Cricetulus griseus: one gene and its partners. The protein of the gene in region 3 binds, or shares a complex with, the protein of the main gene of each other region. Links are inferred from orthologs where the notes say so. Each region holds a gene or a part of one and is shown on either strand. Other genes may lie near its edges.

Evidence for each region. Proteins that work in one complex are often made in the same cells at the same time.
Region 1: the proteins of Tuba1a (region 3) and CUNH1orf194 are in contact, whole or in part, in a cryo-EM structure (PDB 7UNG), measured with the Homo sapiens proteins. The link is inferred for Cricetulus griseus from reciprocal best matches to the Homo sapiens genes TUBA1A and CFAP276. Residues at the interface, in NP_001257328.1 of Homo sapiens: Lys112, Glu113, Ile115, Asp116, Leu117, Leu119, Asp120, Arg123, Lys124, Asp127, Arg156, Ser158, Val159, Asp160, Gly162, Lys163, Leu195, Glu196, His197, Ser198, Asp199, Tyr262, Pro263, Arg264, Trp346, Lys430, Asp431, Glu434, Val435, Val437; in NP_001231954.1 of Homo sapiens: Pro43, Trp44, Arg46, Leu47, Asn48, Thr50, Pro51, Thr52, Ile53, Thr54, Ser55, Arg57, Arg58, Ala60, Tyr62, Asp64, Ile67, Pro68, Lys69, Asp70, Asp71, Phe74, Arg75, Lys90, Ser91, Leu94, Leu95, Asn96, Lys98, Thr99.
Region 2: the proteins of Tuba1a (region 3) and CUNH9orf116 are in contact, whole or in part, in a cryo-EM structure (PDB 7UNG), measured with the Homo sapiens proteins. The link is inferred for Cricetulus griseus from reciprocal best matches to the Homo sapiens genes TUBA1A and PIERCE1. Residues at the interface, in NP_001257328.1 of Homo sapiens: Met1, Arg2, Gln15, Asn18, Ala19, Glu22, Cys25, Leu26, Glu27, His28, Gly29, Ile30, Gln31, Pro32, Asp33, Met36, Pro37, Asp39, Lys40, Asp46, Asp47, Ser48, Asn50, Glu77, Gly81, Thr82, Tyr83, Tyr224, Thr225, Asn228; in NP_001041730.1 of Homo sapiens: Tyr28, Pro35, Gly36, Arg37, Phe38, Trp43, Phe44, Arg45, Gly46, Tyr47, Arg48, Thr58, Ser59, Asn60, Gln61, Ala62, Tyr63, Gly64, Arg66, His71, Glu72, Pro74, Phe77, Tyr78, Pro79, Asn80, Ser81, Asn82, Lys83.

Annotation. Positions count from the first base shown.
Region 1 is NW_023276806.1:48,577,826-48,581,518, reverse strand, and holds the start of CUNH1orf194 (protein C1orf194 homolog), read left to right. Parts: upstream 1-1,030; 5' UTR 1,031-1,128; coding exon 1,129-1,209; intron 1,210-3,693. Other genes in the region: Elapor1 (endosome/lysosome-associated apoptosis and autophagy regulator 1), read right to left, coding at 1-7. UniProt on the Homo sapiens protein: Microtubule inner protein (MIP) part of the dynein-decorated doublet microtubules (DMTs) in cilia axoneme, which is required for motile cilia beating. May play an important role for the maintenance of myelin-axon integrity.
Region 2 is NC_048599.1:140,160,048-140,163,740, forward strand, and holds the start of CUNH9orf116 (UPF0691 protein C9orf116 homolog), read right to left. Parts: upstream 2,168-3,693; 5' UTR 2,151-2,167; intron 2,065-2,150; exon of another isoform or gene 2,064-2,064; coding exon of another isoform or gene 2,021-2,063; exon of another isoform or gene 1,769-2,020; intron 789-1,768; 5' UTR 693-788; intron 567-692; 5' UTR 413-566; coding exon 270-412; intron 1-269. Other genes in the region: Mrps2 (28S ribosomal protein S2, mitochondrial), read left to right, coding at 2,021-2,063, 2,168-2,314, 2,743-2,872, 3,393-3,693. UniProt on the Homo sapiens protein: Microtubule inner protein involved in the attachment of outer dynein arms (ODAs) to dynein-decorated doublet microtubules (DMTs) in cilia axoneme, which is required for motile cilia beating.
Region 3 is NC_048595.1:395,418,323-395,422,015, forward strand, and holds the start of Tuba1a (tubulin alpha-1A chain), read right to left. Parts: upstream 2,398-3,693; 5' UTR 2,301-2,397; coding exon 2,298-2,300; intron 1,013-2,297; exon of another isoform or gene 718-1,012; coding exon 495-717; exon of another isoform or gene 358-494; coding exon 209-357; exon of another isoform or gene 152-208; intron 1-151. UniProt on the Homo sapiens protein: Tubulin is the major constituent of microtubules, a cylinder consisting of laterally associated linear protofilaments composed of alpha- and beta-tubulin heterodimers.

The DNA of each region.
Region 1 (3,693 bases), on a different chromosome or scaffold from region 3:
CAACCATAGCGCTGTCCTGAGCCAGCGGCAGTAGCGGCTCAGGTGCTGCGGTGGCTGCTTATGCTGGCAGAAGGAGGAAAAAAAAAGAGGAGGGAGGTACACAGGGGGAGGATGCAAGGGGCTGGACTCGCTTCAGTCACCTCCCTGCGGCTACGCCAAGGCCGCCCATCCTTCCTCCTCCCTCGGTCCTCTCCTCCTCCTATCCACGTCGCCTTGACAACCGCATCCTCTTCGCTCAGCGCGGGTGGGGCAGGGACCACGCGCGCCTCTGCCGCTCACCTGCTGGTCTCCATGGTAGCCGCCACCGCTGGCGCGCGGCGTAGGAGTGCGCGCGCCAGGGTTTGCACCTAACCCAACAGGCTTACGTAAAGCACTCGGTAGAAGAACCCTCCAAATCATCCGCAGCAGTACATTTCACCCCTATTGCTCTTCTCAGCCAGGGGTTATTTCTAAGCATCTTATTTTGTAAACGTGGCATGTGAAATGATAAAGGGAAGACAGACGTTATCGCTACCTTCCAGGGATCGTCTCCTAGAGTGGCCCCAGCACTAACTGCAAAAGCTACTTCCATCCTTCCACCGGCTAAATCCATCCATGTTTTTACAGCCGGGCTGATGAGTAACCCTGGCGTCCGCATAGTTAAACAACAAGGGGAGTGACCTAATCGACAGTTTTTCAATCAGTACACGTGAGATCTTCGGGGGTTTTTTGTTTTTGTTTTTTGTTTTTTTGTTTTTACATTCTCGTACTCTCATTGTTTTGAAAATGGGGAAATAGGTGAGGGGGAAAAGGAAACCTGTGGATCACCCTACGGACTTCTTTCGTCTTTTACAGAACTCCCGTGCTATGGGAGGCCAGCGTTTTCCAGCTGAGGCTCCAGAGTGCCTATCTAGGTCTCCTTTCCTCGGTATTCACAACAGCCTCCTCCCAAGGAGCCTTCTGAGTTGAACCGCCAGGTGGCGCATCTCTCGAAGGGAATTCATCTCTGTCATAAACGCAGGGGTAGTTGCCTGGCAACCAAAAACTGGGCGTTCCAAACAATTGGGACCTGGGATCCTCTAGAAGCCAGGTCGTGCTGCGACTGCGCTAATCTCTTGAGAATAAGCCTGCGCCTTTGGGCCTTTAAGCATGCCTCACACTCCGGAATCTTACCCTCACCCTGCGTTAAGTGAAGAAGACATACACTTGGGGAATCTGCGGGCTTCTAAGGTACTGAGTTTCCTCAGCAAATTCCCAGTGGGGTCTCCAGCAGACTCCTAATAACCTAACTCTGGTGAGACCACCGAGTACCAGAGAAATCTGCTTTCTGTCTGTCTCCTTGGCCTGCTATTCGGGTCCGCTAACGTTTCAGAAGTGTATGTATGTATTTTATGTATGTTTGGGAGCTACAGGTTTGGCTTGCTGTTTGAAATTGTGGTAGAAAAGCAGCCTTTCCTGTAAATATAAGAATAAAACAAGAAGGAACACTCCCAGAAGCAGAAGGCTAAGCTGAGAAGGAAGGTATAATAGACAGAGACCAAAGTTAAACCAGGAGTTGGCCTCATAAGATGGAAAAGTATTTGTAGAATCAAAGAAGGTCAGGGTTGGGAAAGATCCTTCTAGTAGCCACAGAGATCATGGCTCCACAGCCAGGACAGTTTCAGTGGGCACTGGAAGAAAGGCCAGACTACAAAGAGTTGGAGACATGAAGGGTGAAGAAGGGGAGACAGTAATTGCTGACCCTTGAAGAAGCATGGTTCTGTGGAAAAGGTGACAGTGGCAGACATACCTTGAGAAAAGGATAGTTGAGATAATGGGGCCAGATGAGGGTTTGGGGAATGGTACAGATCCAAAGAACAGGGAAGGGCTGGATCAGAGAAGCGTCCTTCTGAGTGAAGGACTTCTCCCTGTGAACAAAGATAGGTCTGAAGGCTGGCCCTAGTAATTGACAGTTGGTTTTCTTTTATTTTTTTTGTTTTTTATTTTTTCAAGGTTTCTCTGTGTAGCCCTGGCTGTCCTGGAACTCATACTGTAGACCAGGCTGGCCTCGAACTCATAAAGATCCACCTGCCTCTGCTACCTTAGTGGAACGCAATCTGGTTGTGCCAATAAAGGAGATGGCAAGCCTTGTATGGCCCTTGAAAAAAGTGGCACAGCTGCTGAGGGCCACGGCAGGGGTAGCTGAGCCTGTGTTTGAACTGTGTTTACTTATTTGCCTGATCCTACTGTCCAACTAAGATTTAACTGAGTTGAGTCACACAGTACTTTGCTACATGAAGGGAGAAGAGGCTAGATGCTAGTGCTTACTCGAGTCAGTCATTGGTTTGATCAGAGCTTAGTTTTTATGTGAATGTAAAGTCAACATGCTTGGTACTGAGGATACAGTGGTGAAAATGGCCAATTTCAAATACAAGGAAAACCAACCTTGTGTTTTTCTCTTATGTCTGTAGTGTTTATAGAACCCAGTGTCCATTGAGCCCTTTCTGACATTCCTTTCCATGACTTTTTTTTTCTTTTTTCTTTTTTCTTTTTTTTTTTTTTTTTTTTTTTTGGTTGTTCGAGACAGGGTTTCTCTGTAGCTTTGGAGCCTGTCCTGGAACCAGCTTTGTAAACCAGGCTGACCTCAAACTCACAGAAATCCACCTACCTCTTCCTCCCGAGTGCTGGATTAAAGGCATGTGCAACCACTGCTGGGCGACTTATCCTTTCTTGGATAATCTTTATTTTTAACCTAGACACAACCCTTTCTGACTTTGTCTCCCATTGCCTCTATGGGACCCTCCCTGCCTCGGTAAAAATATTGTCCTAGTAGATCCTTTTGGTCAGGCTTTTTCCACAGAATTCAACTACTAGTATGTGGACCACTTGATTTATCTTGTCTATTTCCAGCTCTCCAGCAAGCCATACACTTCCAGTTTTCTGTTAATTAGAACTTTCATCTTTTCTCCAAACTTGGACTTCTAAGTATGAACATACCGTCTTTCGGATCTGTTTGCTGAGCCCACTCCCAGCATCTTGATCCATCAGTTTCTTCTATTTTCCTGGCCCATTTCAATCATTTCTCACTCAGAAGGCTTAGGGAGTCTTGCCCCTGTGATCGCTCATCTCTTTGTAGCTGTCCTGAGATTCAAGTAAAATGGGATGGAGCAAGGTGATGAACATGACCCATGCTGCATCAGCAGGGCCTCAGAAGGAGCACGGTGATGAACGTGACCCATGCTGCATCAGCAGGGCCTCAGAAGGAGCAAGGTGATGAACGTGACCCATGCTGCATCAGCAGGGCCTCAGATGGAGCAAGGTGATGAACGTGACCCATGCTGCATCAGCAGGGCCTCAGATGGAGCAAGGTGATGAACGTGACCCATGCTGCATCAGCAGGGCCTCAGAGGGAGCACGGTGATGAACGTGACCCATGCTGCATCAGCAGGGCCTCAGATGGAGCACGGTGATGAACGTGACCCATGCTGCATCAGCAGGGCCTCAGATGGAGCACGGTGATGAACGTGACCCATGCTGCATCAGCAGGGCCTCAGAAGGAGCACGGTGATGAACGTGACCCATGCTGCATCAGCAGGGCCTCAGAAGGAGCAAGGTGATGAACGTGACCCATGCTGCATCAGCAGGGCCTCAGAAGGAGCACGGTGATGAACGTGACCCATGCTGCATCAGCAGGGCCTCAGATGGAGCAAGGTGATGAACGTGACCCATGCTGCA
Region 2 (3,693 bases), on a different chromosome or scaffold from region 3:
AGAAGGCTTCCATCATTTACAAGGGAAGCCTCAAAAGCGAACACACACACACACACACACACACACACACACAAGCTCACGAGCACACGCACTCACTTTCACGGTTACTCAGACAGCAGGTCCAAGACCCTGGTAGTAATGATGACACAAGGTACAGGGTCCGCCTCTGGCTTCTTTTAACCTCAGCAGCCAGGCAATTTGGAGTTTTCACACACAAGCTAGGGCCACCGAGGGCACCTCCTGGAAGAGGTAACCTCAGTTTTCCTCACCTGTAGCCACGAAACCACCCCGGGTTGTTGAACCTGACTGGGAGCTGCTCGCTCACGGAGTAGTAATCGCTCGTCTTCTCTGGGGCAGGCTTAGCCTTGGGCTCCACCAGCTCCGTGCACTCTTGGGGGTTTTCTTCCGACATTTGACCTCCACAGGAAAGTAGCCTCAGACTAGTAGTCAAAGCTGCGGCTGCCGCATCAGGGCGTCTTGTTACTAGGCAACTATGTCGCCTGGCCGGAAGGAGGGGCGGTCCTTTGTAGGTTGCTTGCCACTGGAGCTATAGGCAAGTCTAGAATCTTTCAGAGGGCGAATAACAAAGGGAACAGTGAGGAATTCTAAGCTAGGACTGTCGCGCTAAGGAATCCCAAGCTTTCTGACAGCAGCCCCTCTGGGAGTTACGCTGGCCTTTTTCTGGGACTTACGCTGGCCTTTTTCTGGAACTGTTGGGAACATCCTGGTATCATCCCAAAAGGCAGTAGGGATAATATCCTGGGCAAATGAAACCTTAGGACCTGGGACTTAACAAAAAACATACAGGAATTATTAGATGCTTCCAATCTCTACCTGAGCAAGCACGCACTGGTCTGCAGTTTACTATTCTTGCCAGGACTTCTCCTTAGCCTCTGTTACCCCTCGCTCCCCACAATTCAGCCTAAGTTTAGATCCGAGATGTTGCTAAATTTAGGAAATCTTCCCAGGCCGAATACTATTGAAATATAAAAAAATTATCTTGTGAACAGTGCATGTTCATTGCTAGTGCAATGCCAGAAAGCAAATCTTGAGTTAGAGGCCAGACTGATCTACACAGAGTTCTAGGTCAGCCAAGGGTACATAATGAGACCCTGTCTCAATAATAATAAATAATAATAATAATAATAAATAATAAATAATTTAAAACAAACAATAAAAGTCACACGGGGGATAGTGTGGTGGTGCACACCAATAATTCCAGCACTTGGAGACAGAGACAGGCAGATCTCTGTGAGTGCCAGGCCAGTCAGGAAAACTTAGGTTAGTGTTGTCTTCATTCTTTAAAGTAATTTGGGGGCTGGTGAGATGGCTCAGTGGTTACGGGCATTTATTGCTCTTACTGGGAACCTAGGTTCAACTCCCAGCACCTACAAGGTGACTCACAAACATCCTTAACTCTTTCTTACAATCTCCACGGGCACCGGGCACTCATAGGGTGCACATGTAGGCAAAATATTCATCCACAAAATATATACATCTAAAACAAATTTCAAATTTAAAAAAAGCAATTAAAAAGCAAACAATAAGACAGGCCGTGGTGGTGCAAGCACTCGGGAGCCAGAGGGAGGTGGACCAGCCATTCAAGGCCAGCCATTCCAGCCCAGCCTGGTCTAGCCTGGTCTACAGAGAGCTCCAGGATAGCCAAGGCTTCACAGAGAAACCCTGTCTCAGAAAAACAAACAAAAGCCATTTTAAACCAGAGGGTCGCCTCCTTCTAACCGGTTCTGAGAGGACGCTGTAATTTTACCGGGAGGAACGAGCAGTAGATGAGAACCCTCTCGTCCTGGTTCAGTCCCTCCCACCTTCCAGCCCTGCACTGATCGCCAGCCTCAGCAGAGAGATTCTCTCGGGCGGAATCCCTCCTACAGGGTCGCTCGCAGCGGGAGCCGGCAGCGGTCCTCCGGACCTGCAGGCGGCGCTGCGGCCTCACGCACTCGGCGGAGGAGGCGCTCTGCTCGGCAGGAAGCGTCTCTGCGGCATCTCCTTCCACGCGCCAGCCATGGCTCCCGCTCCGGCTGTCCTCACCCGGCTGCGGTGTGCAGGTGAGCTTGGAACCCCCCGCCCCGAGACGGGAGGGACCCTGGGATCCGAGAGAAGAGGGCAGGGACGTGGACAGGGCGCGGCCTCACCGGCTCTCTCCCCGCAGGTGTGTGGCGCTGGCCAGGTTTCCTGCAGAAGGCGACCCCGGGCCCAGCGGGGCTGAATGGTAGGATGGTGACGGGAGCCCAAGTCCCCATGGTCAGCGAGCCTCAGGATGGCGACGGTAAAGACCAGCGGCTGGGGCAGGACCGAGGTGCAGAATCGTGGAGGGGTTGTCATTGCGGGATCCCCGAATGAACCCTGTGCTAATCGCATTAAGTGGGGTGGGAGGGAGAATGCCCCCTCCCTCCACCGTGTCCCAGTAGCTCCCGAGACCAGTGAAGACCAGTTTGGAATCTATCCACCTTGCCGGTCTCCTTGCGGGCCATTTGAGGCGCCAGAAGTTGAGGAGGCCCCGGTCTCTTTCTCCATGGAGACTAAGAGGAGAGAAGTGACAGGCTTTCCCCACAGAGAGTCCACCTCAGACTTTGGCTCTAGCCCTTCAGCACCATATAGCCCCTTGTCTTCCAGATCTTTCCCAGCATTTCTCCTCCTCAGCCTTGAGGTCCCCACTCCCAGGAGACTCGTGAGCCTTTGGTTGGTGGTGGTGTGCCACGGTGTCTTCTCTTCTTCCCTTTTCAGATCTCCAGAGCAGGATTCTAGATGTGCCACTGCAGCATTCGGACTTCTTCAATGTCAAGGAACTGTTTTCTGTAAAGAGCCTCTTCGAGGCCCGAGTACACCTGGGCCATAAAGCCGGTTGTCGACATAGGTAACTGGCACAGGCAGTGTGGGCAGAGTGGTGGGATCAGGTCAAGGTTGGAAGTGGCGCTGATTGGAGCATTAACAGTACCATCAAGTGCAGTGCTAGTACTGATGCTGTTCATAAACGTAGTGAAAACTGAGGGTCATTACATGCTGGGGACCCCTGAATTTTGGCCACCCGAGTAAAGAGGTCCTGCTATATAGAACTGAAGAGGCCAGAGGCCATTGAGAGCAATACTAGACAAGAGTACCTTGCCTGCGTTCGTGTTTAATGTGCAGTTGGCCTTCAAATCTCCATGGGGGAAAGGACAGGTTGGGACACACACCTGGTGCTAGCTGCTCAACTCCACAACACTGTGTCCCCCATCCTGCCATTCACTAGACAAGATGTAGAGGGAAACAGGTGAAGTAAAAGTGCCTCGAAGTCTGCAGTGCCCTCATTCGAATTGCTGGTAGGGGTCTGTGGAAAGGGAAGGGTAGCTCTGTGAACACTGTTCCATTTTACTTGGTTTTTTTTTTTTTGGCAGGTTTATGGAGCCATACATCTTTGGTAACCGCCTGGGCCAAGATATCATCGACCTGGAGCAGACAGCCTTGAATCTACAGTTGGCCTTGAACTTCACGGCTCATGTGGCCTACCGCAAGGGCATCATCCTGTTTGTGAGCAGGAACCGACAGTTCTGTCACTTGATTGAGAATACAGCCCGGGACTGCGGAGAGTATGCTCACACCCGCTACTTCAAGGGTGGTTTACTGACTAATGCACAACTCCTCTTTGGGCCCACGGTCCGCCTGCCAGACCTCATCATCTTCATGCACACACTCAAC
Region 3 (3,693 bases):
AGCACTGCTTGCAATTCCTCAAGATGGCAAACCACATTTACTTGAAAGGAAAAAATTGTGAATTGGTATTAAAAATGATCTCATGACCCATAGACCACATGTACAAGTCTACTTAATTAATGTAGTGAACAGACTTTACTTATTTTGGCAGGTCCCAACACTCCCCCACACTGCATTTTAAATGAACCCATCCATCTATGGTATTTACCAGCTTGCGAATTCTGTCCAAGACAAGATCAATGATCTCCTTGCCGATGGTGTAGTGGCCACGGGCATAGTTATTGGCAGCATCTTCCTTGCCTGTGATGAGCTGCTCAGGGTGGAAGAGCTGGCGGTAGGTACCAGTGCGAACTTCATCTGGAAAAGGAGATGAAATCAACCATTCACAACAGTAACTGACACACACAAGCTCACTCACTCTTCGGCGGTGTGTGGAGAGGTTCTGAGTATGTGACCAGGACAGAATGCCTCAGGGAAACCCCTGGCCCACTTACCGATGACTGTGGGTTCCAGGTCTACGAACACGGCCCGGGGCACATGCTTGCCAGCGCCTGTCTCACTGAAGAAGGTGTTGAAGGAGTCATCTCCTCCCCCGATGGTCTTGTCACTTGGCATCTGGCCGTCAGGCTGGATGCCATGTTCCAGGCAGTAGAGCTCCCAGCAGGCATTGCCGATCTGGACACCAGCCTGGCCAACGTGGATGGAGATGCACTCACGCTGTGGAAAAGGGGGAAAAATTATGAAATTAAGCTGTATTTCTATTTTAGATTTTAATAGATTTCTAAAGTGTTTCTAATAACACAAATATTGTTGAAATTTATTTGGAGTCATATCCCTCATATGACAGAAACAATAATGAGTACCTGATACAAATACTGCAAAGGGGTGTGGTCTGAATAATGTCACCTTAATACTAAGACTTGGTGCAAACCCATTGTTCTCACAGCCATACTTAAATAGAAGAGTTTTCATGTTCGAAAAATACTTAATACACTGATACTGTAAAGTGAAATAATTGTCTGGAATTATTTTAATTGCTTCTTTTCCTGATAAGTAAAGATGAATGCTTCATCTTTTGTGATCTGGTATTTCAACATGGACATCAGTACTGCGGCTGCGGGCAGGAGCCACACCCTTCTGCAGAACTCATCAGCACTAGACAAAGTGTGACTTCTGCATTGCTGTGTCTGCTGTGCCTGGTGCTAGCCTGTGCCCTTTGTTACATTATTTAACAGAGAAAGCTCTATTTCCAGCAGCTGTCTATACGATCCCCTCGCTGCTTTCAGTTTCCTAACCCTCTTAACCCTGTCTGGGCCATTTGCCTGAAATAATGAATTAGTGAAGATGTATTAGAACAAAAGACAGTTGGATACGGAGTATAATTTTTTTCCTTGCAGCAGTTTCATTAGATAATGAAGATTTTCCAGAATCTTTTCCACTATATAGAAGCAAAATATTCTTAAAGCTAAGTTAGAAACAAGGGCCAACAATAAAAACCGAGTAAAAAGATAACATTTAAAACTAGAAAATGGTATTTTATTCGATGAATCTTTACATACCACATAATATATTAGTATTATTTATTCTATAGAGATAGTTTTCTATTGTCTTTAAAGCTACAACTTTCATTGTCTGCGGGGGTGGGGGGTGGGGAAGGGCGTTTCCCTGGGTTCTGACAATCAGGGTAGTCGAGGCAACCTCACCAACTATCCAGCCCCTCTCTCCCCAGCGAGATGTCCTGGTGTTAAGTAAATCGTACTTTTGACACTCAAGCAAACAAAACCTCTTGTAAGATTACAGTTCCACAGCAATTTTTTAAAAATAAAAATACAAAAACCACTCCCGAGGGAAGTTTAGAGAGGGCGAACCCCTCCCAAAACGCCACGGAAGCAAGAGACAAACAACCCCGCCCCTGCGCCTCCCTGACACCGGCTGCCATGGATCCGACGCAAACTAACCATTTTCCCATAGAAGTGGGGCGGCGTTTCTGGAGTGAGGGCTCGGCCGCCGCCCTGCTCGCCCGCCGCAGCGCACCCCTCTAGCCGTGAACCCCCGCCCTGACGGCCCAGGCTGTGCGAGCAAACACTCGCAGGAGCCTTTGTTCTTCCCCGGGTCTGGGCGTTTCCCTGCCCCGCACTGCGGCTGCGGGATTTACGGACTCCGCGCAAAGCTCAACTTAACAAAGCATTGAGACCACCCTTCCCCGCAGGGGTGACAAAGACTTAGGCTTTCCCTTGAAGATCTCGGGAGACTGATTCCACCCAGTTACGGAGGACCAGGGAAGAAGGCTGGCTCACCATGGTTGCTGCTTTGCGGCTGCCCGGAGGTTGGCGGAGGCGAGGAGGAGGTGTTGCTTCTTACAGCGCGACTCTTAGGCGGTCGATGTAAGAGAACCTGCGGCACATGGGCGGATGCGGCTCCTTATATACAGCTCGGTCACCATGGGGATGGGCCACGGCCTTTTCCTGTTGGTCCAGACCCCTCCGTCTGCCCAGAGAAGCCGCGACAGGAGAGTGGTGATTGGTGCAAGCGACATGGTATGAGGTAATCTCTCCCCCACCCCTTCCCCCTAGCATCCGTAGACTTTGCATCCTCAGACAAAGGCTGAGCAAATGCAACTAGCGGAGCATCCATTATGGGGTGGGGCTGGGGAGGGGAGGGGAGGGGAGGGAAGGGAAGAAAGAAAATCGGGGCTGGGTGATTATACATGACTTAAACCTTAAACTATAGTTAAAATAATCCAAGGTTTTCCCCTACACTTAATCACAGACTTTATGGTTTTTTTTTTTTAATAGAAAATTCCAGCATTTCATACACAGTACACTAAATTTGACCATATTCCCTCAGGATCCAAAGTCTTTAATTGCTTTTAAAAAACCAGCAGAGATAGAAATGATGGTCCAAACGGCTTGGGTAAATGCCGATGTTTACAGTTATTGTTACTGTTGTTTGAACAAGATTCAGAAGCCCACTAAGAATAGGCCAGCATCGTAATCTAAACTGCAGCTGGGGTTCAGAGGCAGGAAGATCTGCAGTTCAAGGTCACCCTAACTGGCACGTAAATCCCAACCTTGGAGGAGCTGAGGCTGGAGGATTACAGCTGGTTTGAGGCCAGCGTGGATTATAGTGTGTGATCATGTCACAAAAAAGCAAAAGAGAACGAACTAAAGAGAAATAATATACAAAACAGAATTTATAGTTCACCATAGAGCTAGCTTTGTTTACGGACAGCACTCCCTACCACCCCTCCACACCCACTCCCCTCCCCCGAGCCTGTGCTATTTTATCTGTAGAAATGAGCTATCCTTTCCAATACAGGGTTCCGAAACTATAAGGAGAAAGAATTGAGTTTTAAAACTAGCTCTTTCTTTGCGTGGGCTTATATTTCTGCATTGCTCTTCTTTGGGGAGGGGTGATATCAAGTAAAACATGACTGAGATACCAAATTTTTAAAAACAGAGAAGAGTTATATAATATAAAAGGAAACCATTTTGTAATGTTGCTTTCATCCCAGACAACTGTGCAATGTCAGCCCGTCTGCAGTTCATTTTACGTAGTTCCCTAAATTCTGTAAATAGCCCCTTCTGCAGTTGGGCTTCTAACTGTGGGAACAGTAGCTCCTCACACCACTGCTATTCAGCTAGAGTCTGTGGTTGTTGCTCAATTGGCCATTGGGACAAAAATGCCTTGCTT